Notamacropus eugenii: one gene and its partners. The protein of the gene in region 1 interacts with the protein of each later gene in a pairwise test. Links are inferred from orthologs where the notes say so. Each region holds a gene or a part of one and is shown on either strand. Other genes may lie near its edges. The genes, in order: DEUP1, ESRRG, TBC1D22B and TXLNB.

What was found.
Region 2: the proteins of DEUP1 (region 1) and ESRRG interact in binary tests that used the Homo sapiens proteins (3 or more experiments, as listed by UniProt). The two-hybrid records come from large-scale screens. The link is inferred for Notamacropus eugenii from reciprocal best matches to the Homo sapiens genes DEUP1 and ESRRG.
Region 3: the proteins of DEUP1 (region 1) and TBC1D22B interact in binary tests that used the Homo sapiens proteins (3 or more experiments, as listed by UniProt). The link is inferred for Notamacropus eugenii from reciprocal best matches to the Homo sapiens genes DEUP1 and TBC1D22B.
Region 4: the proteins of DEUP1 (region 1) and TXLNB interact in binary tests that used the Homo sapiens proteins (3 or more experiments, as listed by UniProt). The two-hybrid records come from large-scale screens. The link is inferred for Notamacropus eugenii from reciprocal best matches to the Homo sapiens genes DEUP1 and TXLNB.

Annotation. Positions count from the first base shown.
Region 1 is NC_092876.1:165,501,994-165,509,207, reverse strand, and holds the start of DEUP1 (deuterosome assembly protein 1), read left to right. Parts: upstream 1-4,208; 5' UTR 4,209-4,564; coding exon of another isoform or gene 4,565-4,570; 5' UTR 4,571-4,745; coding exon 4,746-4,763; intron 4,764-5,001; coding exon 5,002-5,075; intron 5,076-7,214. UniProt on the Homo sapiens protein: Key structural component of the deuterosome, a structure that promotes de novo centriole amplification in multiciliated cells.
Region 2 is NC_092873.1:420,779,234-420,786,185, forward strand, and holds the start of ESRRG (estrogen-related receptor gamma), read left to right. Parts: upstream 1-3,936; 5' UTR 3,937-4,809; coding exon 4,810-4,865; intron 4,866-6,952. UniProt on the Homo sapiens protein: Orphan receptor that acts as a transcription activator in the absence of bound ligand. Binds specifically to an estrogen response element and activates reporter genes controlled by estrogen response elements.
Region 3 is NC_092873.1:94,915,563-94,922,783, forward strand, and holds the start of TBC1D22B (TBC1 domain family member 22B), read left to right. Parts: upstream 1-4,216; 5' UTR 4,217-4,391; coding exon 4,392-4,447; intron 4,448-7,221. UniProt on the Homo sapiens protein: May act as a GTPase-activating protein for Rab family protein(s).
Region 4 is NC_092873.1:225,871,764-225,879,566, reverse strand, and holds the start of TXLNB (beta-taxilin), read left to right. Parts: upstream 1-4,787; 5' UTR 4,788-4,877; intron 4,878-7,803. UniProt on the Homo sapiens protein: Promotes motor nerve regeneration. May be involved in intracellular vesicle traffic.

The DNA of each region.
Region 1 (7,214 bases):
GGAAGACCTGAGTTCAAATCTTGCTTTAGATACTTTCCAGCTGTGTAATCCCAAGCATGTCTCAACCTCTCAATCTCAGTTTTCTCATCTGTAAATAAAACAAGGGCTGACGGGGTAGATTTGATGACTTCTAAGGCTTCTTCCAGCTCCAAATTTATGATCCTAAGCAGTCTTCTACTTTGCTGTTGACAGTCTTGCCCCTATACTTACCTTAATTTGTAAAAAATGTGGCTTAAATCACAGGTACGAGTTAGTCAAAAAGCATTTATTGAGTGTTTACTATAAGCCAGACGTGCTAAGGCCTGGAAAAACAAAGAAAGGCAAAAATAGTCTCTTCCCCAAAGGAGGTTACATTCTAATGGTAGAAACAACATACAACTATGTATACACAAGGTACACAGACAGACACACAGATAGATGGTAGATGGAAGGTAATCTCAGAGGAAAGGTATTAACATTAAGGGGGACAGGAAAAGAACTGGTAGGATCTTTGGGCATATTGGAACTAGCTAGTACCAGCTCACAAGAGTAGATTGTTAAATTTTCAGCCTGAGCATTTGCACCCCAGACATTGGCAAACTACAAATCAGGGCTTGATTTGTTATTATGCTGGTTGTCTAGAGTCAGATTTTAAAGTTTCTTGAGAAATCAAACTCTTCCTATTCAGCCATATATTTCTATAAGTTCTTCCCACAGATCTTAAGTCAGACTTCTGGATCTTCATGATAATGAATTTATGTAAGTTCCTAATGCTAAAAGGGACTTGCTCAATATTGCTAGCATATGGACTAGTGCGAATTCATATCGGGTGAATGAATATAAGTGACTTTGGGCTATCCTATGATAATAAGTTAAATTTCTTTTCAAGATCCATTTTCCCTTCTCCAAATCAAGGATGAAATTTAGAAATGATTCAAGAACATGACCAAGTCTTTCAACATCATAGAAGATTTTAAGTGAAGATGGAATGAAGACTCTTCTTTATTCAGTCACAGTGGGAAGAACAAAGGAACACTTACTAGAACTCATTACCTAAGCCACTTATAGAGTACATCTAAGAAATTCATGCTGATGAGAAATGATCAAATTTGTCTTTTATAATTTTAATGGAACTGGATGGATATACAAAAAAGTATTAAATGAACAGTTGTAATAAAATAGCAAATCAGTGTCCATGTTATGAAAGTGAAAAATAAACAAAAGAGCTCAAAATTTACTAGAGGGAAGCAATAAAACTAAGGTGAATTTTCATTTTTCAAAGATATTATATTCATACATATGAATATACATAGCCACACACCTTCACTACTATTTCTGAGTAGGGAATACTCATAAATTTTGTCATAGGTCGTTGGTTACATTTTTGCCTGGCACTTTCTGTTGTAAAACTCAAGGCACGTTGAAGATGAGCCAGTGTGGCTATCCATGTGGGCAGTTAGGGAGCACCTACTGTTTTCCACCGTCCTGTCCCTTCTTTTACACTTTAACTTAAGATCTGGAGCTGGCCAAGGGGATCCCAAAAAGCCCCCTGGTATACAGGACGAGCCCCGCTGGAACGCAGGCAGGGCAGCGGCACCCTCGGAGTGTCCCGGGGCTTCCAGGCGCGCTTGGCCTTGGCATTCCTCCGCGGGTGGGGTCGGGCACGCGTTGCCACAGCAACCTGGGGCGCCTTGGGAAGCCGCGGGAGCCGTGGCGGGCAGAGCCAGTCGGAGCCAGGCCCGTAACCGCCGCGGCAGCCACTGCTGCTATTGCTCCGGCCCGGCCGGAAGGAAAGCTGGGGAAGAGACGGGCCGAGCCTGGCCGAAGAAAGGACAGTCTGGGTCGGGGCCGGAGCCGGAGCCGGGGCTGGGGTCGAGGCCAGGGCCACGGCACGCTACTCAGCGGCTCGCCCGGAGAGGCCGGGATCGTGGCGGGCTACATCGACTTTACCCTACTCCTCCTCCCCTCTTTCGGACGGTCAAGAGCCGGGAGCAGGCAAGGTACTTAAAGGCGCTCCGAGGTCCAGGCCCGCTCCCGGTGATCCTCCCGAGTGTCCCCGCTTCTCCCAACACCCGGGAGCTGTCCCGGCCCGGACAGGGGGATAGGGAGGCTCCCCGGGCCGGACCCCGGGGAAGCGAGTGGCGAAGGATGAGCCAAGTTGGGAACTTTGTGCGGATTAGGGGTTTGAGAGGTGGTGGTAGTGGGGCTTTGGAAACGTTTGATTTGAGATTATCCCAGCCCAACTAACCCTCCTTCTCTCACCTCCTTAGTACTTCTCCATCTTCCTCCTCCTCCTCCTCCTCCTCCTCCTCCTCCTCCTCCTCCTCCTCCTCCTCCTCCTCCTCCTCCTCCTCCTCCTCCTCCTTCCACCTCCTTGAAGTCACCTCCAGTTATCCTGATCTGTATCTGGCCACTGGACCCAGTTGGCTCCGGAGGAGAAAGTGAGGCTGGTGACTTTAAACAACCCTGACTCACTAAAATCCAATTCACTTGCATGTCATGTCATCGCCATCCTGATGTCATGGTCATCCTTCTACCTCCTTAATACTTCTCCATCTTCCTCCTCCTTCCTTCTTTTCTCCCGTTTTCCTCTTCATCCTTCTCCTCCATCCTTTTCTCTGTCTTTCTCCTTCAAACCCCTCCTCCTCCAAACCCTTCCTCCTCCATCTTCTTCATCCCTTCTTTTCTATCCTCCTTGTCTTCTTCCTCACCTAATTTTTTCTCCCTCTCCTACTCCTCCTCCTCCTTTTCCTCCCCTCCCTCCTCCTCTTCTTTATAATACTCTAATTTATAGAATTAGAGTATTTTTGTATTTTTCTCTTTTCTCCATAAGTAGCCTTTAGTGGTATATTCCATTTTATTCTCACAGATTTAAATATACATATATGTCTATGTATATAGATATACATCTATACATAGACACACATATATTTGATGGTTGATGGAACAAACAACTCTGAAATAAATAGGCAGCAAGTATTTTTAAAGTCTGGGACTTACTCTTTGAAAGCTGACTTCTGGAATCAACTCTAGAATGGACTTCAAGAGCTGTAGTTTTCAGTGGCTAGAGTACTTGAATTTGTATCATATCCTTGAGCCCCCTACATATTGGTGTTCCAGAAAAGGAACAGAAAAAAAAGGCAAAGAAGTTTACATGAAGCTGAACATAATCAACCAACAAGTTTTTATTAACCATATAACAATAATAGCACTTATATAGCACTTTAAAGTTTGAAAAGTGCTATACATATGTTATCTTGTGTGGTCTAATATTTCAGGTACTGGGTATATACAAAATCAAGTACAACTTAGAACTTGCTCCCATGTGGCTTATATTTTATGGGGGGCAAGCAATATATTAAATACAAAATAGTTAAATACTTGATAGTTGGGGAGGGCCAGCACTAGCAGTTAGTTGAGGAGGGTAGGCATAGAAGGTGAGGAAATCAGGAAAGACATTTTAGAGAAGACGGTGCTTGATTCTGTGAGGTGTAGGGGTGTGATAGGAAAATGAGAGAGAGAGAGAGAGAGAGAGAGAGAGAGAGAGAGAGAGAGAGAGAGAGAGAGAGAGAGAGGGAGGGAGGGAGGGAGGGAGGGAGAGAGGGAGGGAGGGAGAGAGGGCAACAGAGTCCAGTTTGTATGGACCATAAAGTGTGGTAAAGGCAATACATGTATATCAAAACAGGTTGGAGGCAAGTTGTAGAGGACGTTAAAAGAGTTTGTATTTTAAGGCAATATAGAGCTGCTGCATTTTACTGAGAAGGGAATTGACTTGGTCAAATCTTCACTTAAAGAAAATAACTGTGACAATTCTGTAGAGAATAAATTAGAGGGGGAAAGACTTGAGGCAGAGACACCAATTACAGCAGTATTGCAATAGTGTAGGCAAGTGGTGATGAGGCCTGAACCGCTGAGGTTGTGGCTATGTGAATAGAGAGGGAGTCATGAAAAGATGTTGTAGAGTTAGAAATGACACATTTGGCCATCAGCATGACGGGGGGATGCAGGGAAGGGGTCAGGGAGAATGAGACGAGGATAAAAATGAAGTTACTAATCTGGAAGACTGGAAGTCTCAAAAAAATAGGGAAATTTGATAAAGAGTTTGGACAGAAAATTAATGATTTCTGTTTTATTCATATTGACTTTGAGATGTCTTTGTGACATCTAGCTTGAAATGTCCAATAGGCAGTTAGTGATGTAGGGTTAGATGTGGACTAGACAGGAGAGAGACTGTCAATGTATATATAGCTCTAGATGGATATATAGCTCTAGAAGTCATCAGCATAGAGTGATAATTAAACCCATGGGAACTTATGTGGACATTAAGACAATAAGGAAAATGAGGGGACTCAAGCCTTAGCTTTGGAGAACACTCACAGTTAGGGGTGTGTTTGAGATAATGAGCAAGCAATTAGAAAGGAAAGAGGAGAAAAAAGAAAACAATGTCATGAAAATAGAGTATCTAGGAAGAAAGGTGCAGCACAAAGGTCAAGAAGGACGAGGACTAAGAAAACAGAAAAATTGAAAGACTTGGTAACTTTGGAGCGAACAAATTCAGTTAACTTGATGAGACTGAAGTGAGGCAATGAAGGTAGACAGCTTTTTCTAGAAGTTTGACTGAAAAAGGGGGGATGATATAGAATGATAGCTTGAGGGGGCAGTAGAGTCTAGTGAGAATCTGAGGGAGACTTGGGCATGTTTGAAGGCAGGAAGCAATCAAGTAGCTCTAGGGAGAGATTAGAGACAGTGAGGGAAGGAAAGAGTGAATGAGAGAGAGCAAGAAGGTGAGTGTGATAGAGGTTACAGTCTGCTAGAGAAGATGGAAGGGGGGGATGAAGGTCACACATAGGTAAATCAAGTCACTTAGCAGTTCTGTTTATAGTACATTGAAGAGAAAGAGTGTCACATTTTCTAAGGAAAATTTAAAATGGACAATTTTGCCAAGAGCTAGCATTCCATAATTTTCTAGATTAATAAATACTTTAGATATTCTAGATTATTATTTTTTCCCTTTCTGAACAGGTTAAAAGATCAAGAAACCTAGGTAAAATGGAGTCGCGTCTTGAGATAGAGAACCCAGAGCAGAATCTGATGGGGTAAGTGCTGAGGTTTCCTTTCGTACTTGAGAAAATTCTGCTTAATAGTAATGATAAGAGCTTACATTTAGATAACATTTTAAAGTCTACAAAGCCTTTTCTTTACAATACCTCACTAAGAGAAGTAGTACAAGTTACCCCATTTTATGGATGAGGAAACTGAGGCCCAGAGAGATGAACTAGTTTGCTCATAGACAGTAAGTGGCAGAGCTGGGACTTAAACCAAGCTCTTCTGGCTTTAAGTCCAATGCTTACTTGTTTTGGACTTTATTAAAAGAGAAGCTTGATTGTAGTGTAAAAGAACAGTTGTGTTAAAGTAGGGAGACTTCACTATACTTTTAGCTCCTCCACTAACTAGCAGGATGACTTTGGGGAAGTTATTTGACTTTTTCTGAGCTTCAGTTTTCTCATCTGTAATACAGGGATAATACCAGCACTGCCTAGCTTACGAGGCTGAGATGAAAGTATTTACAAAACACAAAGTGTTATATAAACGGGAACTACTTTTAAAGTAAGGAGACTACAAGGCTTTTTGCTGGCCAAAATATAGCACTAAAACTTGATGTTGGTTTTGTGTATATGCATATGTAAATACATGCACATGTGCTGCTGACATATAATGAATATAATTCTAGAGAATACACATGTAATATTAACGATATATGTATATAAAATTAAGTGAAGAAAACAATATAATTATTCTTCCCTTTCTGATCTCAGTTCCTACATTTTTCTCTCTTTCTCTTTCTCCCTTCTCTCTCTATACACACATAAAAATATATACATATGTACATTATATACATACACACATATATAGTATGTGTGTATACACACATGCATAATGCATACACACATACATATACATGTGCACATATATGTATATATGTGTATATATACATATATAATATACATATGAAGAGAGAAAGAGAGATGGGGAGGGAAGGTAGAAAAATTAAAGCAAGAAGGGTGGAGAACAATTGTATTGCTTTCATCACTTTTTTTTTTTTTTTTTAGCTCAAATCAATTTGCAAAGCAAGCGTAAATAATTCTTCGGAATTTCTTTTTTTAAATTTATTTATTTGTTTTCAATTTTCAACGATCACTTCCATAAGTTTTAAATTTTCTTCCCCTCCCTCCATTCTCTCTCTCCAAGATGGCATACAATCTTATGCTCTACACATACATTCTTATTAAACACATTTTCACATTAGTCATGTTGCATAGAAGAATTAAAATGAATGGGAGAAAGCATGAGTAAAACTAAACAAAACCAAACATAGCAAAAGAGAAAATGGTCTGCTTTATTCTGTGTTCTGATGGATATGGATGGCATTTTGCATCATGAGTCTTTTGGAAATGTTTTAGGTCCTTGATTTTCTGTGGAGGACTAAGTCTATCAAAAACAGTCCTCGCACACTGTGACTGTTACTGTGTAAAATGTTCTCCTGGTTCTGCTCATTTCACTCAGCATCAGTTCATATAAGACTATCCAGGTATTTCTGAAGTCTGCCTGTCTATCATTTCTTATAGCACAATAGTGTTCCATTACATTCATATACCACAACTTGCTCAGACATTCCCCAATTGATGGGCATCCCCTCCATTTCCAGTTCTTGGCCACCACAAAAAGAGCTGCTATGAATATTTTTGTACATGTGGGTCCTTTTCCCATTTTTATGATCTCTTTGGGATACAACCCTAGAAGTCAGATTGCTGGGTCAAAGGGTTGGCACATTTTTGTAGCCTTATGGGCATAGTTCCAAATTGCTCCCCAGAGTGGTTGATTCAGCTCATAGTTCCATCAACAATGAATTAGTGTTCCAACTCTCCCACATCTTCTCCAACATTTATCATCTTCCTGTTTCGTCATGTCAGTCAATCTGACAGGTGTGATGTGGTAGCTCAGAGTTGTTTTGATTTGCATTTCTGTAATCAAGTGATTTAGAGCATTTTTTCATATGACTAGAGATAGCTTTAATTTCTTCCTCTGAAAAATGCCTGTTCATATCCATTGACCATTTGTCAGTTGGGAAATGACTTGTATTCTTGTAAATTTGACTCAGTTCTCCATGTATTTTAGAAATGAGGCCTTTATTACAGACACTAGCTGTAAAAATTCTTTCCCAGTTTTCTGCTTCC
Region 2 (6,952 bases), on another chromosome or scaffold:
CAATATAACCAACTCATTTATTAATCTACAATTTCAAAATGTTAACTCTTGCTCTGTAAATACAACCCATAGTGATCCTTGAAATCTTGCAGCAACTAAAAAAAGTGCATTTGCTGTTTTAATAGAGTAAATGTCTGAGATTTTCAAAATTTCTATTGGGAATACACTAGAACTAAAGTAAGTTTTCCCTTTGGTATCACACTAGCTTATGATTTAATTTTTACTGACATTCCAGCAGTCATATTATTAGCTTCACAAAATGAAAGTGAAAATAATCCTGTATTAATTAAACAGAGTAATGGAATTCCTTCCTTTAGTTTATCTGAGCTATTTTAGACAGTAACAGACTTTTGCTCTCCTCCCCCCCTTCCCCCTTTGAACAAGCTTCCATAGGAAAGGGGTTTGATGGGTTATAATGGAAGTGTGGCAGCTAGATGTGGAGATTTGCTATATGCATCCAGCTATTTAATACACCTCAGCTAATTGTATTCCCCAATTTGGGTCCAGGATGGAGGGACAGGATAACTTTTGAATATGTTTGTATACTTCTAGGAATTTTAAAAAATTATTGATTCTTATCAATTTAGCCAGTCCTTTGTGCCTTGCAAATGAAAGACATGTTTTAAGGAGCTGATGAATTGTGGAGGTTTTGGTAGTAAATGCGTATACTGCCATCATTCTGACTTCTGAAGGAAGGCATTCTGCTTTGTTTTCAGGAGGCAAGTTAATGTTCTACAAAAGGTTAAATGTACGTATATTTTAGAGTTTGGGTTTGAGAAGAAAAAAATGAGCTAATGCTCATCTTAATTCTTTTTATAATAAGTACTAGCTTTGAGCAGTGATAGATAAAAGATAAGTCAGAGAAATGCATAGTGTACTTTTCTAAACGTTACAGAATTGGGGGAACATCTGCCCAGCTGGTTTAAGCAGCATTCTCAAAGTCAACAGCTATTGAACCTTTTATAATTTTAAAGGTACATTTAGCTTTTCATGAAAAAAAGCAACAAATGAAAAATAGGAAATAAAAACTCAAGTGTGACTCAAAAGTAGCATGACAGTCATGGAGATATTAGTATTAATCATTCAGTTGTAAAACATATATTTGAAATGTGCTTATTTTTATGATTTTTCCCAGTTACTTTTTAGAGTATTGAGAAGGGAACTAGCTGCAAACAGTAATTTATTTGATCTTTTCATAGTGCAGCGCAAAATGCAAGAAGAGTAAGCATTTTTTGGCCAATTTTAATGAAAACATAAGAAATCATTGCTAAAATTGGCCAGGTTGTAGGAATTCGGATATGATTCCAGTTGGAAAGCCCAAAGACTCAAAAATACAACTCTGATGTGTAAATAAAGAAAACTTCTGCTTTGTATTTATATGGAAAGAAACTTTTTTTTACTTGCCTATGCTGGGGGAGGTGTGGTTCTTTAAAATGTTAAAAGTGAAGGAAGCATCTTTACCTTGTGGCCTGTGGGTTAGCTGTGGTTTAAGAATAAGATTGTTTAGAAATTCAGGAGTTACTGGGTTGTTTAAAGATGAAGATGTTGAAAGATTTACATAGGGATAATTATATGCACAGTCTGATGGTCTGATATAGACTTAGCTCATTAATGTTCTTTGGGAGACTGTCAAGAAAGCTTCTTTTATTTGAATCCATTCTTCCTGCTTTGGTAGGTTTTATAATGTGTAGATTTGATTGCCCGAATGTTGACACGTCTATCATGGTTTTTTGCTAGATTAATTAAAATAGAAATCTATTGTTCGCTATACAATCATCCCAGTCTTTATAACAGACCCATTTCTTCACATTCTCCATCTTTTCTACCCCCCCACCATGGGGAAGTCTCTATGAAGAGGAAAGGTTCTTGGGATGACTTAACTGTATTTCTTTATAAAATGTCCTGGAACCTGTCCCAGAAGTTTAGTGCAATAGATTTTATTTTAAAATTTAAATTGGTTAAACTGAATTCAAGACAGTAGGAGTAATCTTAGGTCCTTGACTGGTAGAGGTGACACTTTGGCCCCAGGGGAGGAAAACACTACTGTATGAAGTCCAATACAATACTTCTGGTCATTCAAGGAGCAGGGATTGCAGTGAAGGGAGCTCCTTGCCTGGATCAAAGATGGTTGGTGGAAAAGTCGTGATGGCATAATAGGGTAAAAATGTGTGTTTCGAATGTGTTTGTATATGTGTGCATGTAACATGGAAGAATTCATACCTGAATATGAAAAGTGTGCTTAAGGAAATATACCACACAAAAATCCAAATAGGCAGTTCTGCAGACAAGTAAGTATTCAGAGTATAAAGGTAAATTTTAAAATACTGAAAACATGAGATAACTTAGGTTTCTTTAGGCAATAATAATAAATTTGGCTAGAGAGTCTATTCTTTACAATAGCTCTTTCAAAGGAGTAATAAATGCGGAACTGTCAGCATGATAATGTAAAAGAGTATGAATACAGCAAGGAGACAGACATAGATAGATGCCTTTTAACATAGTATTTGAGACTACTTGAGATCATAGCTTTTTGTCAGAAGGATTCCTGAATGTTGAAATTTTCTGTTTGCATGGAGAAAATATTTGTGATTGAATCAGTAAATGGTAATTTTAGGTTATTCAGAAATCAAAATTTGCATGATATACCATGTGTTTATGTTTCTAATGCTGAAGTTCTTATATTTTTAGGAATTTTTTTTTAATCAAAATGCCTTTGAAAGGGTTTTTGCTTTTTTAAAAAAACTGTAAAAATGATTCAGTAGCTTGATTTAGATTTGATAAAGGCAATTCTTTTTTTGTCTTTCTGCTGTCTGCAGAGTGCTTGGATTTTCTTCTACATCTCAGAGCTCTTTTAATTCACTGCTCACAACCAAATTTACATCTTAATTGCAGAGTTCACATTTAACAATATAGACAGCATAATGCTACTGGTAATTAAGCTTTTACTACCTGCTTTTATACAGTAGTCACAGACATAGTTTTGCTATGTTAGTTCCGATATAGAAACTTGCATGCATTTAGACCCCAAATATAAGTAACCAGGCCTACACTTTAAGTCTGGTTAAATACATGGCAAAAGGAAATTGTCTTCCCCTTTGGAAGGACAAAAACCATGTCTCTCACTTTTTCTATTCTGGACTTCAACTTGGCCGTTCTATTTTAATACAGAAAAACCAGGAGATTTTATGAGAGGGTGCGTTGAGTTCTGATTTAGTGTATTAACACATTCTGTGTGTGTGTACTGATTGGTTTTGATATCAAAGATTGTTATTTTCATCATGTAGGGCTCCAGGCTCTAAAGATTTTGTGAGCTTCTCATATGAATTATAAAATCGTGTAACATTCTCAATGAGGTTGCAGTTTTCTTTTTGCCCTATAAATGTCTGAAATCTATTCCAGTGTACATTTGAGTTCATTAAAATAAAAATATGTAGGTTATCAGAAAAATAACTATTATTTCTTCGTCCTAGTGTTACATATTTTAAAAGTAGTTAAAAAAAACAATTATTTATTCTTCTAGTTTTCTTAATCTACTTTTATGATCTTATATTTCAAACTGGTTCATTCATTAACTTGTCCTAATGAGAGGCCAGGTGTCTGAGTCACAAAAGATGATATTTTGCCCCGTCTAGGTTCCTACTTAATTTTGAAATGTGCCATGTATGCAAATATATATGCACACGCACATGACATGAAATATGCACTGGTGTCAAAATAATATCTGTACTTCTGTTTCCCACTCAGGTGGGAAGCATTTTTTAGGGGAAGAGAAAGTATAAAATTAAGAACATTTATATTTCAAATTTTAACAATGTCAGCTTTACACAATGCAGTCCTTATCTACTTAAATTCAATTTGTTTAGATTTAATGTACTATAATCACTTCTCTGCTCTACCCTCAGCAAGTGGAAAAATGATTGATTTCATAGTTGCTTATTTTCATTTTGTGAAAGTGTTCATTGAGCATGTTTAGTAAGAGAAAAGGAAGTGATAGGTTTATAAATTAGATGCATATAAAATTTAGTAATGAATTCTTTTGTTTTAGTTGTGTAGACTACCCTATTTATGCAATCATCGCTACCTAAAAATAAACAATTATAATGAAAAAAGTAATTAAGCATCTTAGAAAAATATTGAATTTTAAATGTCCACTACAAATTAAAAAATAAAAATAAAGAGCTATAAGAAGTGGATGAGAAAGTAGACTGAGCAATGAGGCAAAAATGTAATGGAACATAGACAATGGCATCAGAAACTTATTTCTCTACCTTATGTAGAATTCGTCCCCAAATTAACTGGGAGTCTGGCATGTTTTCTTCTTTTCAAGGTAACAGGCAAAATGTACTTTAGGTTTAAAAAAAAAACCTTCCAGTACCTAAGGAGTTAAGTTAATTATGTTCCTTTGTAGCCTCTCAGAAAATATTTGTAGCATTTAAATCTCTCTTCCCTCCACCCCTCCCTTATCGGCCCACTGTTTTCAGTCCCCTTTCTCTATCTCCACCCTCTCTACCTGCCTGGTTCTCCTCAATCTGTGCTGCCTGGGTTCTCCTCTCCTCTGATTGGCGGAAGCTCTTCCAATCTAGAGCTCGCCTGGGCCAGTGGGACTGCATATGTAAAGCCCTACTTCATATTAATAAGCTCCAATCGGGGCTTTAAGTCCTTGATTAGGAGAGTGTGAGAGCTTTTGGTCCCAACTGGCTGTGCCTATAGGCTTGTCACCAGGAGAACATTTGTGTTAATTGCACGGGGCTCTGTCAAGGAAACTTTGATTTATAGCTGGGGTGCACAAATAATGGTTGCCGGTCGCACATGGATTCGGTAGAACTTTGCATTCCTGAATCTTTTTCCCTGCACTACGAAGAAGAGTAGGTACCCTTTTTTTTTTCTTTTTAAATTGAAAAGATCCAAATATATATATATTCGCACCCTGATTCAGGTAACGATCTGTGTATTTTGTGTGCATGAGTGGCTGTTTGTGTCTGTGTTGTGCCTTTTGTGCTGAGGGGTGATCTCCTAATTCAGTAAGTCGAGAATTGTTCTCTGACTACAATGTTACCTTTGAGGCGAGGCTCGGTAACTGTCAGTAAAACAGCTGTGTGACAGTCACTTCTTATTCAGGTGCTAAGAATAGGTACTTGGCACCAATGCTTACTGAACTGTTAAAATGCATCTTTTACTAGGACCCATTTTCCCAAGGAAAAAAATGTTTTAAAATACAATATTCAAAAATGATTTATACTATTGAGTGCCTCTTATGTATTTGCAGTTTGACAGATATTTCCATCTCCCTGTCATTTCTTACCTCACAGAGTTAGAGGGAAAATTGCACATTTGCTAATTCTCCTTCAGAGAACAATTTTAAAACTAGCCTCCTGCAATTCAGGTCGAGAATAATGTTATTTGCATGGTTAGCGTTAAGTCAGCACTTAGCTGACAAATCAATCCATTAACTAACTGGGGATTTTCACACATTCTGAATATTAACACCACCACCACCACCACCACCAAAAAAAAAACAAACCCAAAACTAAAGAAAGACAGTCTGACTTTTAATATTTTACACTCAAATGAGTTGTACAGACAGAGTAGAGTTATTTCACTTATTATCTCCACAAGATACAGCAAAGTACTTTGCTCCTTACACTCAGTTTAATTTGTATTTATGCATATCTTTGTGTACCAGCCAGTTCACGCTGAGATTACCAAAGGGGGAGAGTAAATGTGTGTGTGTGGGGGGTGTTGAACGAGGAAGTAAATTAGGTATTCTGGTGTAGATGAGCAGATCATAAACTTAATTTCATCCTACAGCCAGGATAAAATATTAGTGTATCGTGTGAGCTGTCACTGGTTCATCTTTCTGTTGAGTCAGTTATATTGCTTTCCTTTCACATTACAATAATACAGAATGTTATAATTTTGAAAAGGGTGCACTTAGTAAAACACTATGTCTGTGGCTTGTGAGGGGGAAATATAAGGATATGTTGAAGAGACAGTGTATTATAGGTTGATGTCCACTAGCTGTCCTTAGTGACTGCATATTGCAATGCTCTTTGTAATTAAGCCAGAGATGAAAAGTGACTTGCAGTTGCAATCCTATATGTTGGTGATTTTAGACAGAAGTGTGTGTGTGTGTGTGTGTGTGTGTGTGTGTGTGTGTGTGTGTGTGTGTGTGTATGTGTCTGAAAGAGAGAGAGAGTGAGTGTGTGAGACCATCCGTGTGGGTGCTCGCTTATGCATGTTGTGTATACCCTGGAAAATACCCTGGGAGAGTTGGGCTTAATCAGGGACAGAGAAATTATGGAGAGGGGGCAAGTTGTTCAGTTTGAAAAATCAAATAAGAAGACAGTCTTAAAATATTGGGGTTCAAATATCACAAAATAAACAAAGGTAACATGTGCAGTAAGATGTGATTTGTATCTTAGTACACTTGGAGTGGCTGAATATGATAGTGTAAGATGTCTTCATATTGGCCCAAAAGAGAGGAAAAAAGAGATTAGCAGAGAAAGCTCACTCAGATTCTGAACTTTCTTTCAAAAATAAATAAGCAAAAGAAAAGAAACTTTAATAGGGCCTTAAAAAGGAGTCTTTTTTATGTAGTTTTCTTGAATTTATCTTCTTAAAGCTAATTTGAATAATTAGTTTAGATAAGCCTCTTAAAGTGGATGCAGTTAAATGAAATCAGGGCACATGTCCTTTTGGCTGTGGTGCAAGATTCAAAGTAGCTCAGGCTTTCTTTTTTGGCTCAATTAAAAGTCATCTTAAAAAAAATTCAGATTTATTATCTGGATGCAGTTCTGATGGTTATGTGGTTCACTGGACAGACAGAAAGATCTAATGCTAAGCAACACATCTGCCTCTCTGTCTCAATTAATAAACCACAGAATTTATACATGCTATTAATATTCATAGTAATTGTACTTGGGCTGTACTTCCATCACGTGTATATACACAG
Region 3 (7,221 bases), on another chromosome or scaffold:
GATAGTGATGTATACTTGCATTGTCTCCTTAGGGAAGTGTATATGGCTACAGTTGTGGAATGTCAGCTGTAAAGACTTCACTACTCAACGTATTGTTGCCCCAACAAAACTCTCAACATTATCAGGAAAGTAATCAGAAATAAATAGAAATCTTTATCCCATTCCAGCAAGGACCTTCAAATTCTTTTTTCTTCCTTACTGCCTTTGCTGGAAAGAACTGGTTCGCAAATGCAAAGGGATTCCCAGTACCCTCTGAATCCCACTGATAATAAATGGAAGGTGCTAATTGAACAGAAGACACACAACTCAGGTACTGGGGAAGGGAAGAGATAAAAGGAAGAGATTCATTGTGAACTGATTCAAAGTGGACAATGGAAAGAAATGGGAGAATTTAATGGATACCTAAGTGCTTTGAGTTACAGTAGGGGTTCTTAATCTGGGACTTTTTTCTTTTTCAGGATAACCTGCTAACATTTATTTTAAAAAATATAAAATTTTCCCCAAATACATATTAAAACAATTTTTAAATTTTTTTTAGAGTTTTGAGTTTGAAATTCTATCCCTCCCTTCCTCTATCCCTCCCCTCATTCTTCCCTGAGGTGGTAAGCAATCTGATATAGTTTATACATGTGCAATCATGTAAAACATGTCCATATTAGTCATTTTATATAAAAAGATAAATAAAAAAAAGAAGGAAAGAAAGAAGAGAAAAATAGCATGCTTCAGTCTGTATTCAGACAGTATCAGTTTTTTCTTTGGAAGTGGAGAATATGCTTCATCATTAGTGGATTGTCTTGGGCTATTGTATTGCTGAGAAGAGCTAAGTCATTCATAGCTCTTTGTTGTACAATATTATGATTATTGTGTGTAACATTCTCCTGGTTCTGCTCACTTTGTATCAGTGCATGTAAGTCTTTCCAGGTGTTTCTGAAATAATCCTGCTTGTCATTCATTTCTTAAAACATAATTAATATTCCATTATAATCATATGCTACAGCTTATTTAGCCATTCCCCAATTGATGGATATCCTCTCGATTTCAAAAAAAAAAAAAAAGGAGCTGCTATAAATATTTTTGTACAAAGGTTTTCACGTCTTTGGAATATAGACCTACTAGTGCACAGTTTTATAACCCTTTGGGCATAATTCCAAATTGCTTCCCAGAATGGTTGGATCAGTTCACAACTCTATTAGCAATGCATTAGAGTCCCAGTTTTCCCATATCCCCTCAACATTTTCCTCCTTTGTCATGTTAGCCAGTCTGGTAGGTGTGAGATGTTACCTCAGAGTTGTTTATATGTGCATTTCTCTGATTAATAGTGATTTAGAACTACTTTTTAAATTAAAAAAATTATATTTTGATATAATTGGCTGCCTTTGTAATCATATATATATATATATATATATATATATATTTAAATTAATTTTAAAGCATTGTTCTAAGAAGGTTGTTGGTAAGTTTCAGATTGCCAAAGGGGTCCATGACACAAAATAGTGTAAGAGCCCTTAGTGTACCGAGTAGTGCTCTGAGACTCCTGAGACTAAGGTGTTAAAAACAACAGAAGGTATAAGTAGCCTAGAGACATTCTGGCCCCAGAGGAGAGAAATAGTTGCCTGTTATACAGGCAACTAAGGCTCCTCTAATGCAATTACTTTACAGACTGAAGAGCTAAAGATTATGGAAGTAGCAAATATCAACAGCCAGTAAGCAGATTAAAAGAGAGGATGGTGAGACAGCAAGTACTGGAGAACATCAGTGGTAAAAAAGGTGGCAGGAACAGAACACCAAAGTGTGGACACAGATCCAGAGGCATTCCTACTTTCTGGAGCACCATTCAAGGTAGTATTGTAAGTCATAAGGACTGTACAGGTTCCTGGGAGGCAAGGTTGGATGATAGGTAGTGATGAGGTGGGGGGAGGGGGTTTGATTCTTTTGAGTTTGGATGTAATGTCTTTCTATGTTCCCCATATATAGAACTGTTCTGTGTTTTGAAACCCAGTGAACCTGATGGTTGTAAAGATTGCCCTGATGGTTGCCCTTAAGGGAGTATCAGATACTAAAGTTTTCTAGATACTACCTGGTGGAGATAATGAAAGAAATAAATGAGAAGCATACCCAGGCCCATTTCAAGAGGAATTCTCTTTTTGGTCTACTTTGTTGTTATGAATAAGGTTAACTAAGTTCTCTTAGCCCAGAGATTTTTTTATACCCTGCACAAAACCATGGTATATCCATATATGGAATATTGTGTACAGCTCTGATCACAACATTTCATGAGAGACATAATTAGAAAATATCTGTTAACAATGATCAAAGGGATAGATGCAGCAGCTTCTGTTTGAGTATAACAGCTCAGGAATATAAGAGATCTGGTGGGAGTATGCGGGGAAGAGGTAAGAGGACATGATCAAAGTCTATAAAAGCATGAGTTGAGTGATCTCTATCTCAAATCTCAATACTGAGGTCATGGGACAAAAGTATCTTAAAGAAAGGTACAAAAGTTAGTTTGAAAGAAAGTCATGCCTGAGTAGTAAGCATGAGAAACTCATCCCAATAGATAGTACAGTTTGAAAATAGAAATGGAGTCAGGGAGGTTTTTCTAAATACAACGATTTTTGGAGGGTACTTCTCTAACTTTAGTGACTGAATCCATGGAGAGCAATCATGCCCTCCCACAAAATAGTTTTTGGCACTCTGTTTTCAATGAATTCTTGACTGAAATCACTATGCAACTTCTTACACCATTATACAGATGTGCCAACATCTGGGTTGTCATCAAGAGGTAATGACTTTCCCTCTCGTTATTGAAAAAACACTTTTATCTATTTCCAGTACACTTACATAATACTGTCTATTATAGTCAACTGTTCATGGTTTTCGCCTTTCCTAGAGAGGGCTCTTTCCATAATATGATTCAATATCAACATTATCTTTCTGTACACTGATAGTAGGTCATTCAACCTGTGTAATTCTTGTCTATATGGTAGAAGCTTAATGTATGTTGGTTGAATGAATAGGGACCTTCCTCTACCAATAAAGGTCAGTGTCTTTTCTACAGTTTTACAACTTTAGATAACAGCCTGCAGCAGTGACTATAACACTATATAGTCAGTAGTGTCAGAAGTGAGACTTGAACCTAAATCTTTTTGCTTGGGGCCCCAGCTCCCTATCCGCTAAACCAGGTTGCCTCCCCAAAGTAATAGAAAGAACGTGGACTATCTAGTATGTGAACTTCCATGGGACAAAGATTACTTCTTTTATGTGGTACACCTCACCAGTTCTCTAAGTGCTTAATGGGATTCTCATCAACTAACCGCTCTTTTGTTGCAGAAGTGGTAGCCCTGAGTCAAAGGCATTTTCTTTGCTTTGTGGGTAAGGAAGTTGTGGTTCAGAAGGAGAAAGTTTTTCACTGTGTGTATAGAGCAGTGACAATTAGCTGGTGATGAGAGCTAGGACATTGGAATACTAACTTCCTAACTTTTATTTCATTTTTAAAAATATTTTTTATTTATTTTTGAAATTTTCTTTTTAAATTTTGAGTTCCAAATTCTTTCTCTCCCTCCCACCACTCTCCCACCCACTTAGGCAAACAAATGATATCCATTATATTTGTGAAATCATGCAAAATATTTCCATATTAGCCATATAGAAAAAAAAGTAAGAAAATTTCCTTCAGTGTGCACTGAGTTCATCAGTTCTCTCTCTGGAGGTGAATAACATTTTTTCATCACGAGTTTCTAACTTTTAGAAGAAGAGTTCTTTTCCTACTTCTCATCTGGTCCTCCCTTGACCCTCTCTCAGCCAACACCCCCCTCAAAAAAAAAAAAGGAAAGAAAAAGGAAAAGAAAGGGAAAAGGAAGAGAGAGAAAAAAAGAGGAGAGGAGAGAAGAGGACAAGAAAAAGAAAAGAAAAAAGTCAACTCGGAGTCCTAAGAGACCCAACTCAATAAAAAAGTGTCTTCTTTCTCTCACCAAGGTGTAGGTTTCTTTACCTACTCCAGCTCTTCCCGGTGATTGGCGCTTCTAAGTCCCGCCCCTCCATCCTCTAGGACTCCTCCCCCGCTGCCCACCTGTAAGTATGCCCGACCCCTGACGTAACTCTCGACTTCGGCGGCCCACACGACGCACGCTCCTCATTGGCTTGCGTGGCGACGGCCCCCGCCGTCGACCAATGGCAGCGGCGCGGCGTCGTGAGGAGGAGGGGGGGCGCCCACATCCAACATGGCGCCCCCGGGAGGTGGGAGCGGGTGACCGGCGGCTGTGGCAGCGGCGGCGGCGGCAGCAGGAGGGAAGCGGCCTTGCGCGGCCCTCGGGTGGCGGGGTCCTGGGGGCGTCTCTCCGGCTCCCCCCCCTCCCCGGCCCCGCCTACAGCCCGCTCCCCGGGCCCGAGCCATGGCCGGAGACAACAGCAAGCAGTTTTGGAAGAGGAGCGCTAAGCTGCCGGGGAGGTGAGCGAGCTAGCGAGGGAGGGAGTCCTGGACGGCCGGGGCCGGGATCCACCCGAGCCCCAGCCCCGCGTGTGTGCGCTGCTCCTAGCGGGGAGTGGGGGCTGCCGGCGCCTGGGAGGTGCGTACAGGACCCCCCGGGGAGCTGGGGGGGCCGTGCTGAGGATCAGCGTCCTGTCGGCCGGAGGTCCGTCTACACCACAGCCCCGTGGAGCTGCCGCCCCCACTGGGATGCAGAACCTGAGGCACCGAGACGGGCAGCCACTTCCCCGGGGTGGCACAGCCCCGAGGAGCGCCCGGGCTGCGTGGCCGCCGTCGTTGCCGTCTGCGCTGCTGCTGCCAGGCTGCTGCTCTCCGGAGCAGATACTAGGGGAGGGGGCTCCCCGGGCCGGATCGAGAGAGGCCCTCTCCTTCCGAGCCTCGGGGTGCACGGCGGGGAGGGTGCGCGAGCACGGGCCCCTCTCGAGCCCCCCAAATGCAGGCCGTCCCCTTCTGTCCGGCGGCCAACGAGCACTTGTTAATTATCTGCTCGCTAGGTGCCTGCAGGTGCTGCTTCCCCCAGCCCTGCTCGTGGCCCCCCGTGTTGGGGAAGGGGAGCCTGGAGGGGTCCTTGATGCCCCTTGTCTTTGTGGACCCGTAACCTCATACCTGTGGGGAACTCCCTTTGCTCTTAGGACTTCGCAGTCGTAGAGTTTCTTGGGACGCTGAGGTGTTAGGTGACGTTCCCAGGGTCACCCAGCTTGTGTGTGCCTGGGCTTGGGGCAGAGGGTAGAGAAGGGGAAGGCTGTTAGCCAGCCTCATTAGGAGTATTATAAGGGGATGTGGAGAGTGTACGTTTGTCTGGAGGATTTATCTCATTTAATTCTTTCTTTCTTTTTCTTAATATCTTTCTTTCTTTCCTCCATCCCTTCCTCCTTTCTTCCCTTCTCTCCCTTCAACCATCTCTCTCTCTCCCTCTCTCTCTTTCTGTCCCTCTGTCTCTTTCTGTCTCTCTTTGTCTCTCTCTCTCTCTCCCCCCTTCTCTCTCCTCTTTCTCCCTCTACCTCTCTCCTTCTCTCTCCCAATCTCTTTCTCCCTCTCTCCCTCACTCTGTATTCTATCTCCCTCTCTTTTTCTCCCTCTTTCCCTCTCTCTTCTTCTCTTTCTTCCTCTCTCTCCCCCTTCCCTCCCTCTGTCTTTATCTCTCTCAAAGTTTCTAATAGCTAACATCCATAGACACTCTCCTATGATCCTGTCCTTGTGCAAGTATATAGAAGTCTCCCCAAATGCTTCATGTAATTAGCTAACATGACTGCTTTTTTCATGTTTGTTGCATCATAAATATGCCTTGGCATCCGCACATCCATTCCCTTACATGTGGTTTGCAGGATGAAAGAAGGATAGAAAACCTCCTCAGAGATATCTTAAGAAGCTGGTGCTTCTTGAGTGAACAGAAGGCAGTTGCAGACAGGGCCAGCTCTAGTGGTGCCACATAAATTGTCGTTTTCAATGTTTCTGACTCTTTTCTTTCTGTTCGTTGGTTTCCTTTGCTTGTTTCTTCCCCCACCCCCAGAAAAAAATGGGATGGTTGTGACTTCCTAAGAGAAAAAAATGAAAGAAGTGAAGGTTAGGGAAAGTTATATAGTTATTATGTTTTATTCATTACCCTACTAAGACCCACATGAAGGTGGAGAGGGGGATAGAGTAAAAATCAGCTTCAAAATCAACTTAATGTTAATTATATTATTTTGAATTCATATTTGAGAGGTTTTAACAGGCCATTTCCTCCCCAACTGTTCCATTTTCCTTCCTGATTCATTGGGGTCTCCACCTCTATTAAAAGCTGTTCACGGGGTTTTCCATGATGAGATCATTATATATTGTCTGCCCTGGAAGCCTGGGAATATGACATGAGTAACTTTGGGGAATTCTTTGGAGAATCTAAATTGAAAAAGGGGTGTGTGTAGAAGATGGGGGCTACAGCCACTACTTCTGTCTATTTTAGGTATTTCTAATGTTGTCTTATAAAACAATTAAGGGGAAGATGTAATCTTTTGAAACCCTATACTTTAGTGAAGGGTGATAGGAGAGTTTTTTTATTGTGCTCTGTGGCCTTCCTCCAAACCAAACCATTTCATATTCTTTTAAAATTCAGGACAAGTGAACCTTATAACTGGGTCTTTACCCCTGCTGGTTATAGAGGAACTTAGCGTTAATCCTTGATCCATTATGCGTTTGGTGTGTTAGGTAATTGGTGATTTTTGTTAGTACTTTGTTCTTTTTCTTAAACAGATTTAGATCTGGATTTATTTCTGGGCCAGGGACCATATTTTAGAAATAACAAAAGATCTTAAATGATGCTTTGACTTGGACCCAAATTTTTAACAACTTCCTGATCGTAGAACTTTTTCCTCTTTCACACTAAAGAAAAACTTCTGTTGTGTGCAACAGAACTGAGAAAGCTATACATGTGTTGAAGAACTTAGAAGTAAAACTAATTTAGTATTCTTTAAGCTGACATGGAGAAAATAAAGCAATGACTGATTGCTTTTAGTTCCTTTGAAAGCAGATCCAGAAAACTTTGTGCCAAAAAATGGAAGTCTTATTTAATAAAGTATTTCCTCAGATACAGCCACCCCCCAACAAAAATCATTAAAGAATGAAAAATTTTTTTTCTTCTATACCTTCTTGATAAGACCCCTTGGTTTACTAATGTGTCACTGAGACTTAGTTTGATGCTCAGGAAGATGGTACTTTCTTATTTTTATTGAATGAGTTTGATTTCTGAACTGAACTTT
Region 4 (7,803 bases), on another chromosome or scaffold:
ATGTAAGTTCCTTCAGGGCAGGCACAGTCTTGTATTTGTATCCTTAGAACTTAGCATAGGGCTAGTCACAGAGTGAGAACTTAATGAATACTTTCTCATTTATCCATTGTAAGGTATTTTGTCCCATTATTGGATTCTTCCAATTGTTAAATAGTCCTTTGAAATATTACCTCAAAGATCTGTGTAGCCCTTAAAACTCTAGGAGTCCTTACTTGAATTCCCATTTTCACTGATGAATCAGATCTCTAGAGCAAGCCTCATGACTATATTCCCCCACTCTGGGTTCCAGAGATACCCTTGAGGGATTGGAAAATTCTGTCTTTAACAGTATCAGCCTGAGACCCAGTTCTGCTGTGTGCTTCAAGTATCAATCACCAATGATTGGCACCTTATATGCATTTAGCCAACTAATGTCAATTAGTTTTTTCAAAGAGATATGAGAAGACATATGAATAGAGATATAAACCATTCCCCCAAAACTAAGCATACACTCTCCCCGTGCCACCCTAGTCTAGTCCATGGAGATAGTGGTCTCAGACTTAAGGTTTGCCATAAGGAATTCATTCCCCAACCTCATCCCCTAGTTTACTTCAAAATTCAGAATAGTTACTGAATGAATCCTTGTCTCACCTACTGCTAAACTTGATGCTGCTAGATTGAGTCCTCAAGGTTGTTCCTTGGGAACCTTGCTTTTGGTCTAGCACAGACTCAAGCTCTCAGACTTCTGAGGACACATCATTCTGACCTTTTGAAGTTCACAGTGTCAGAGCTGTTTCCATTACTCCTTCACCTACAGTAGTAGAGATCAGTTACAGAAGTCAACCAAACTACAACAACAACAAAAAAGCAAGAGCAAAGTATATTACTGTGGCCCAGTGGGGAAATAAAGGCCTGAGACCTCTCTGTCTCCACCGATAACTTTCAACTGTTTTTGACTCCTCACTGATTCACAGCCAGGCAGGAATGAGGATGAAACCTCACTGTGGTCATCTAATAGAGCCTGTTGAATACTCACTTCCAATTCACAGTCAATCAGAAAGGCTCCTCTTTGCCACAGGGTAAGCAGGCCTGAACCAGTTGCAGAATGTCTGGGCATGCTCCAAATCATTGAGCAAAGCCTTTTTATTACAAGTTGTCATACCTTTCCATAAGCAGACTTGCAGCTTCTCTATGGGAGGATTTTCACCAGTCACCCTTTTCAGTCAGAAAATTAGCTTTCTATCTCTGAAGGAAATTTGTTCCTTAGAGAGCTTCTCAGATAATCCTAAAGGGATTGAGGTCAAGTGATAGTCAACGTCTCAACTTCAGGTGAGAAACCAAATTATTTTGGCTTGTTGCCTACAAACTAGCTAAGGGAGAGGTTGTGGCACTTGGCTCTTTCCCTATTAAACTAAACTTCCCTCCCCCTATTCTGTAGGTCTACACTCATAATGTAGTCTAATTCTTTTGGGCCCCTGCAACAATGCAAGGTACTCCCATTTTTCTCCAGGGATCCCTGAAATTCAAAGAACATTCTACTAGAAATCCAGAAAAAGAAAATCTCCAGGTGTCCCTTCCCACATATGGCACACCAAGGTCTTCTGAGTTACATTCCTCACTATGACAGTCAAGTCAACTTCAAAAGAAAACAAACACAGAAAAGCCCCCCAAGAGGTGTGGTGCTCCCCCCAAAAATGATTAAGTATTTAGGGTTGATTACTCAGAGTTTCTAGGCCATCAAGCAAACTTTATTTGGAAGTAAACTTTATCTGTTTAAAAGCATCAGAAAAATAAGAACATTTATCAGTTGGGCTGATACACTTGCAAGATTATAACATCACAAAGGCGATCACATTTTAACAATCTCCTACCCTTATCTGGATTGCTAATTAATTTAACAATAGCAATAACAAAGATTGGGAAAGTAATTTCAGACTTTCAGAAATATGTTCTATGGAAATCCATGAACTGCATCTATACTAGTATACTTCACTTTTCCTTAAACTCAGTAAAGATGGCCAGTTGTCACCAAAGGAGAAAGAGAAAAGAGAAAGGGAAAGCCTTAGGAAGAGTAGTTAGTGTGAAATAGTGGAAAAATGATTGAATTTGGAGTCAGACTACATGGGTTCAAATCCCCTCTCATTTACTACCTGAGTGACTTTGGGCAAGTCCCCCCATCCTCTGGAAAGTGGTAGGTTGGTTGGATGGTATCAAAAGTCATTTTTTTTACCAGAGTCCTATGATCTTATTTTAGGCTCTTTCTACTGTAACAGTGTGTTCACATATTTTCCATGAGAAACTTATATGTGCAATATCCAGTGTTAAATGTGATGAAAACTAAATGAGGGTATCCATTCAGCAATCATGTATTAAGCACCTACTATGTGCTAGATACTGTACTAGTTGTTGAGGATAAAAAGACAAAAAATATCTCTTTAAGGAACTTGAGTTCCACTAGGGGAAAGCAGTGTGAATGCCAATAAGTATATAGAAAAAATACAGATTAAATGCAAAATAATGCTGGTGAGGGGAGAACACTAATAACTAGGGAGATTAAGAAAGCCCTACTATACTAGGTAGTATTCAATCTCTGCTTTGAAGGAAGCTAGGGATTCTGGAGGCAACTAGATAGTGCAGAGGATGGAGTGCTGGTCTTTGAGTCAGAAAGACCTGAGTTCAAATACACACTCAGACATTAAGCAGTTGGGTGAGCCTGGGTCCTGTTTATCTCAGTTTCCTCACCTGTAAAAATGAGCTGAAGAAGGAAGTGGCAAACCACTCCAGCATCATGGTCAAGAAAACCCCAAATGGGGTCATAGAGAGTCATAAATGACTGAAGTGACTGAACACCAGCTAAGGGATTCTACGAAATAAAGGTGAGAAGGGAACCCATTTCGGGCATGGGGAGAGTTTTGCAAAGACACAGAAATGGGAGATAAGACTGTCATGTATGGCATTGGTTTGGTTGGATGTACAGTACATGAGGAGAAGTGATAAGAAACAGTCACAAAAGACAGGTTGAAATCAGACTGAGAAAGAACTTTAACTGCCAAAGAAAGGGATTTGTATTTTATCCTAGAGACATACGGAGTCACCAAAGTTCCTTGAGCAAGGAAATGACATGGTTGGATGTACATGTTAGGAATATCAATTATGCAATGGTGTGGAGAATGGCTTAGAGAGATATGCAATCCAAGACTAGCTACTAGCAATTATTGAACATTTTAACGTTAGAGATCATTTAAGTAAATGCATGCACATTTTTGCAGATGATATAATTCGGAGAAATAACAATTACTCAGGATTGTATAGCACTTCAAGATTGTATAGCATTTTCCTCATAACAACTCAGTTAGGTTAAGTATTATTGACCTCATTTTACATTGGAGGAAACTGAGACTCCTAAAAGCTGTCTAAAGTCAGAACAAGTTCTAGGTTAGAGCTGGAGCATAAATCCAGGTCTTCCAATTCCAAAAAAATCTAGCAGTTTTTTTCCCATACATTGTTCCTTTCCACAGGCTATATTAATTATTCAGTATGTAAGCAATCCCTAAAAGTCTCACAATAGAAAATCTATTCCAAGTCTAATAAAAATGTTTCCATGCTTAGGACACTACATTCCTATGTCATTCAGCACTGTACTGTAACAATGATCCATTAGAAATTGGCATCTTTTTTTATATGCTATTGCAGAATTGTGAAGGAAAGCTGCAAAGATGGAATTCTGTGACTCCTTACCATACTGTCATAATATTAGCAATACCTTCAATCAGCACTACTATAGGAATTTTCTCTCAGGGCATATAGAGTACCAATAATAAGGAAAAGAGGTTACCAGGGGTGGAGAACCTGTGACCTCAGGGCCACATGAGGCCTTCTAAATCCTTAAGTGGGGCCCTTTGACTGAATACAAACTTCACAGAACAAATTCCCTTAATAAATAAATTTGTTCTGTAAAACTTGAATTCAGTCAAAAGGCTGCACTGGAGGACCTAGAAGGCTACCTGTGGCCTCAAGGCCATAGGTTCCCTACCCCCAGGTTAGCCCATCATGAAGGGCACATAATAGATAAAATTACAAACCAGGACAAGAAACTTTGGTATTTCATGGTGGGTTTTTTTTTGTTTGTTTGCTTTGTTTTGGTTGTTTCAAGACGTACAAGTAAATATCATCCCATCATAAAGAAAGTGTTTCATTTCTTACATTGTTAAAGTCATATATCTCTCCCTCTCCTCCTCACCCATTTTCTCCATAAGCAATCTGATACCACATACCCAGGAACAAAACACTAATTAATTAAACTAGCATGAGAGGGACAAGGAAGAGAAATTACAAACCATACCGGAGAAATGCTGAATGCCAGAATGAGAAACCCTCCAAGGTGAAAAAATTAACTGACCCAAAATAAAGGTACTCTAGCTGTCAGTATTTCTAGCCTTCAATGCAGTGGGGGAAAGGGCCTCTCCAGTTGTCTCCATTTTTCTTAGAAAAAAATAACAAAGTGGAAGAAACTGTTAAGTGCTAGAAGTTGCCAATTATCTCTGAACACCCCCCACCCCAGGTATCACATTTAAATTTTGCATATTACTTATCCCTCGCTATATATATCATCCAAGCTTCAGTGCCTTGGTCCACCCCCACCCCCCTTTCTCATCTCTCACTCTGTGTGTATGTGTGTTTCCACCTCTCTCTCTCTCTCTCTCTCTCTCTCTCTCTCTCTCTCTCTCTCTCTCTCTCTCTCTCTCACTCTCTCTCAGGAACAGGGGTGAGTGTCTGGCTCTGGTTCCTGCTGTGCCCTGCTGCTGGTTCGCTTGGGGTTTTTAAATTTTGTTTTGTTTTTTAACTACCTCCTTCCTCTGGCTCTCTCTTCCTCTCTTTGCTTTGTTCCTCGCCTACTGGTAAGTTCAACAAACACTTTTTGAAGTAACCTTAAAAGTTGTGAGGTTGGGGTTGTGGGTGGAGGGGAGGTGTGCATCGCCCAAACAGCTCAACTTGGAGATTGACAGTGAACTGCTGAAGCCTTTCCATGGTTTTATTTGTGCATAATAATAATGCTCCTCAGTAAGGTATGGGGGTCCTTTAATCTTCTGCCAAAATTGGTAGTAAAAAATTTTCAGTCTTAAGAATGAAAAAAAGTCAAGATAATAAAGTTTATACAAGAGAAAGTTTTGTAATACTCCCTATTTTGACCACCAGCAATTAATTAGAAGATCAGTATTTGCTCAGAAAAGGACAATTAAAAAGAAACACAGAAATTTTCCTAAACTAGCCTTCTTTCTGATATCGTCAGGCTACTTTTTAGGAAATGAGGATCCCTGAGTGCTCAGTGACTCGTTATTCCTATTTAAAAGCAAATATAATGTGAAAATCCAGAGGGCTTACAATAGATTTACTATATGGAATTAGAGTAATCTTTACACCTGAAAAATACAAGGCAAATTCATATACAAGTTCCACTGGCCGAAACCCAGATCCTGTGTTCACAGGCTACTATTTATATTTATTATTTACAGAATCTGAGTAAATTTGGGTCTGATTTCAACCAAAGAGGACCTCTTTAAGTATACAGATATGTATATGAGTATGTTACCTAATCATTTTTAATGTATTTATTTCAACTTGTTAATTCTTCCCATTGGGGATTTAATTTTTTAAAATAATGTTCTCCTTCTAAGGTTTTCAAAGATGAAGTGTTAACTAAATACCAAACCTCCTTTTAGAAGAGCTTAAAATAACTTCTGGCTGGACAGAGGGTGCCATGTGTCTTTCTGCTGGGGAGAGGCAGAAGCTATATATAGACAGATGTGTGTACCCTACAGGGATCAAATTAAAATGCCTGTGATTAAGAAAAAGAAGAAGTGCTTTATAAAATTGATTGAGAGAAGCCTGGCTAGACAAAAATGCTGTAAAAAAAGGAGAATTTACTTTTTTGTCAGTATTGAGCTGATGCTGGCAGGTTGCATTGTTAAACTGCCTTGGAGGGAAGAAAAGAGAGGGACCTGTCTAAACTGAAGAACTTTTCTGTTTCTTGTTAAGATCTTGGCATTGAATACACTGGTGAGAGAAAGGGTAACAGATCCTGCATCTATTTCATACAGCACCTATACTTACATTATTCCACTCAACATAATATCATTACAAAACACTAAGAGACTAAAATGGGGTCTCTTTTTTTAAGAGAGTAACCAATTTTATTGTTAAAAATAAATGGATCAGTAGGTATTAATAGAACTGATGTCAACAGGAGCCTAAATGCTGGCTTAGGTTAAAGTTACTACAATTTAATGAAGTATATGTAGCAGGTGCCAACGCAAGTTAATCTGCAGTACTTGATAGGACACAGGACAAGACAATCATAGACTCCAAGTTTTACCAGGACTGATCTTTGCCCAATGATTAATAATAAGAGCCAATATTTATATAAAACTTTATGAATTATAAGGTTCTTTTACATCATTTGATCCCCATAGCAACTTTATAAGATCAGTACTTATTAATAATTATCATTATTATTATAAAAATTATTCTATGTTATTATTAATCCCTTTTTGCAGGTTCAGAAATGAGACTAGAGAAGTTAAATGACTTTCCTATGGTCACACAGTAGATATCAAAGGCAGAAAGCCAAGACTTAGGTCTTCTGTCAGGAATAGAACTTGAGTCACTTCTGACTGCACATTCAGAGTTTTTTTTCCTTTAAACCACTGTGCTCTCAGGTTTCTAGCTTTTGGATAGAATGTAAAACAACAAATATCTTTGCTTCCAAAATCTACTTAAATTGAGAATTCCAACTTGTTTCCAAACGAGCATTGTGGGTAATTCTCCCTGTTATTTATAGTAAAGTAAGTTCTTTAAAACAATATTTAACGCACCTATTAGTGTCATAGAATCAATGATCTTACCTGTTATTCACTCAGATGCAACCACAGTAACATCAGTGTGGATGTTCTTTCCAATGATGCAATTGACAAATCATCTATGCCTGCCCATCTTATGCTTGACCATGTTCTCCCTGCAGCTTGCTATTGAGGGAGTGCTGCCATTGTGCTAAAAAAACAAAACAAACAACTTTACTTTCTCCTCATGTCATAAAAATACCAGTGAAGCACATGAGGTGACAGCTATCTCTCAATCTTTCCACATGACTAGCACATCTCTTCTTTCTATCATGTATTTTTGTCATCTTTTACTCGTTTTTCTTTGTAGCTCTTTATGTCCTGAGTGTTACAACCTGACACACACATATATGCATTCATATATATACATACACATACATATAAACCCATGTGTCTCTCCATTGTTTTTTGAATGATATTAATTTTTAATTGTTCATAGATTATAGCATTCTATGCCTTGCCACCATGTGACCAGGACAGAATATTGATATTGAAAAAACAGTACTAATTTTCTAGAAAAAGTTTTAGCGTACTTAATGGAGAATCACAATTTCATATATATATATATTTACACACATGAAGACAGATAGAGACACTAGTGGATGAGGTCTATAATTTATCCATCTGTGTCATGCTCAAAAATGCAAATGGATGAGTGGTCCCATCCATTTGAAAGTTCCCTCCAGTAATGCATATCTTGATTCAACCATGCCTTCCCAACCCATGTGTAAGGCTTACCTATATTCTCCCAAAAGTTCACCACAGGGGATCCATCCAATGTTCTGCAGGCTTTTCTCACTTCCAGCATTTTAAGGTATCCATGGAATGCTTTGGCTGTCCACTTGTCGTATCTCAGTCTTGACAAGTGAGCAACCCATCTTCTTTTCCTATCGTACAATTCCTTTATACCTTCCTTCACTCCTGTTCT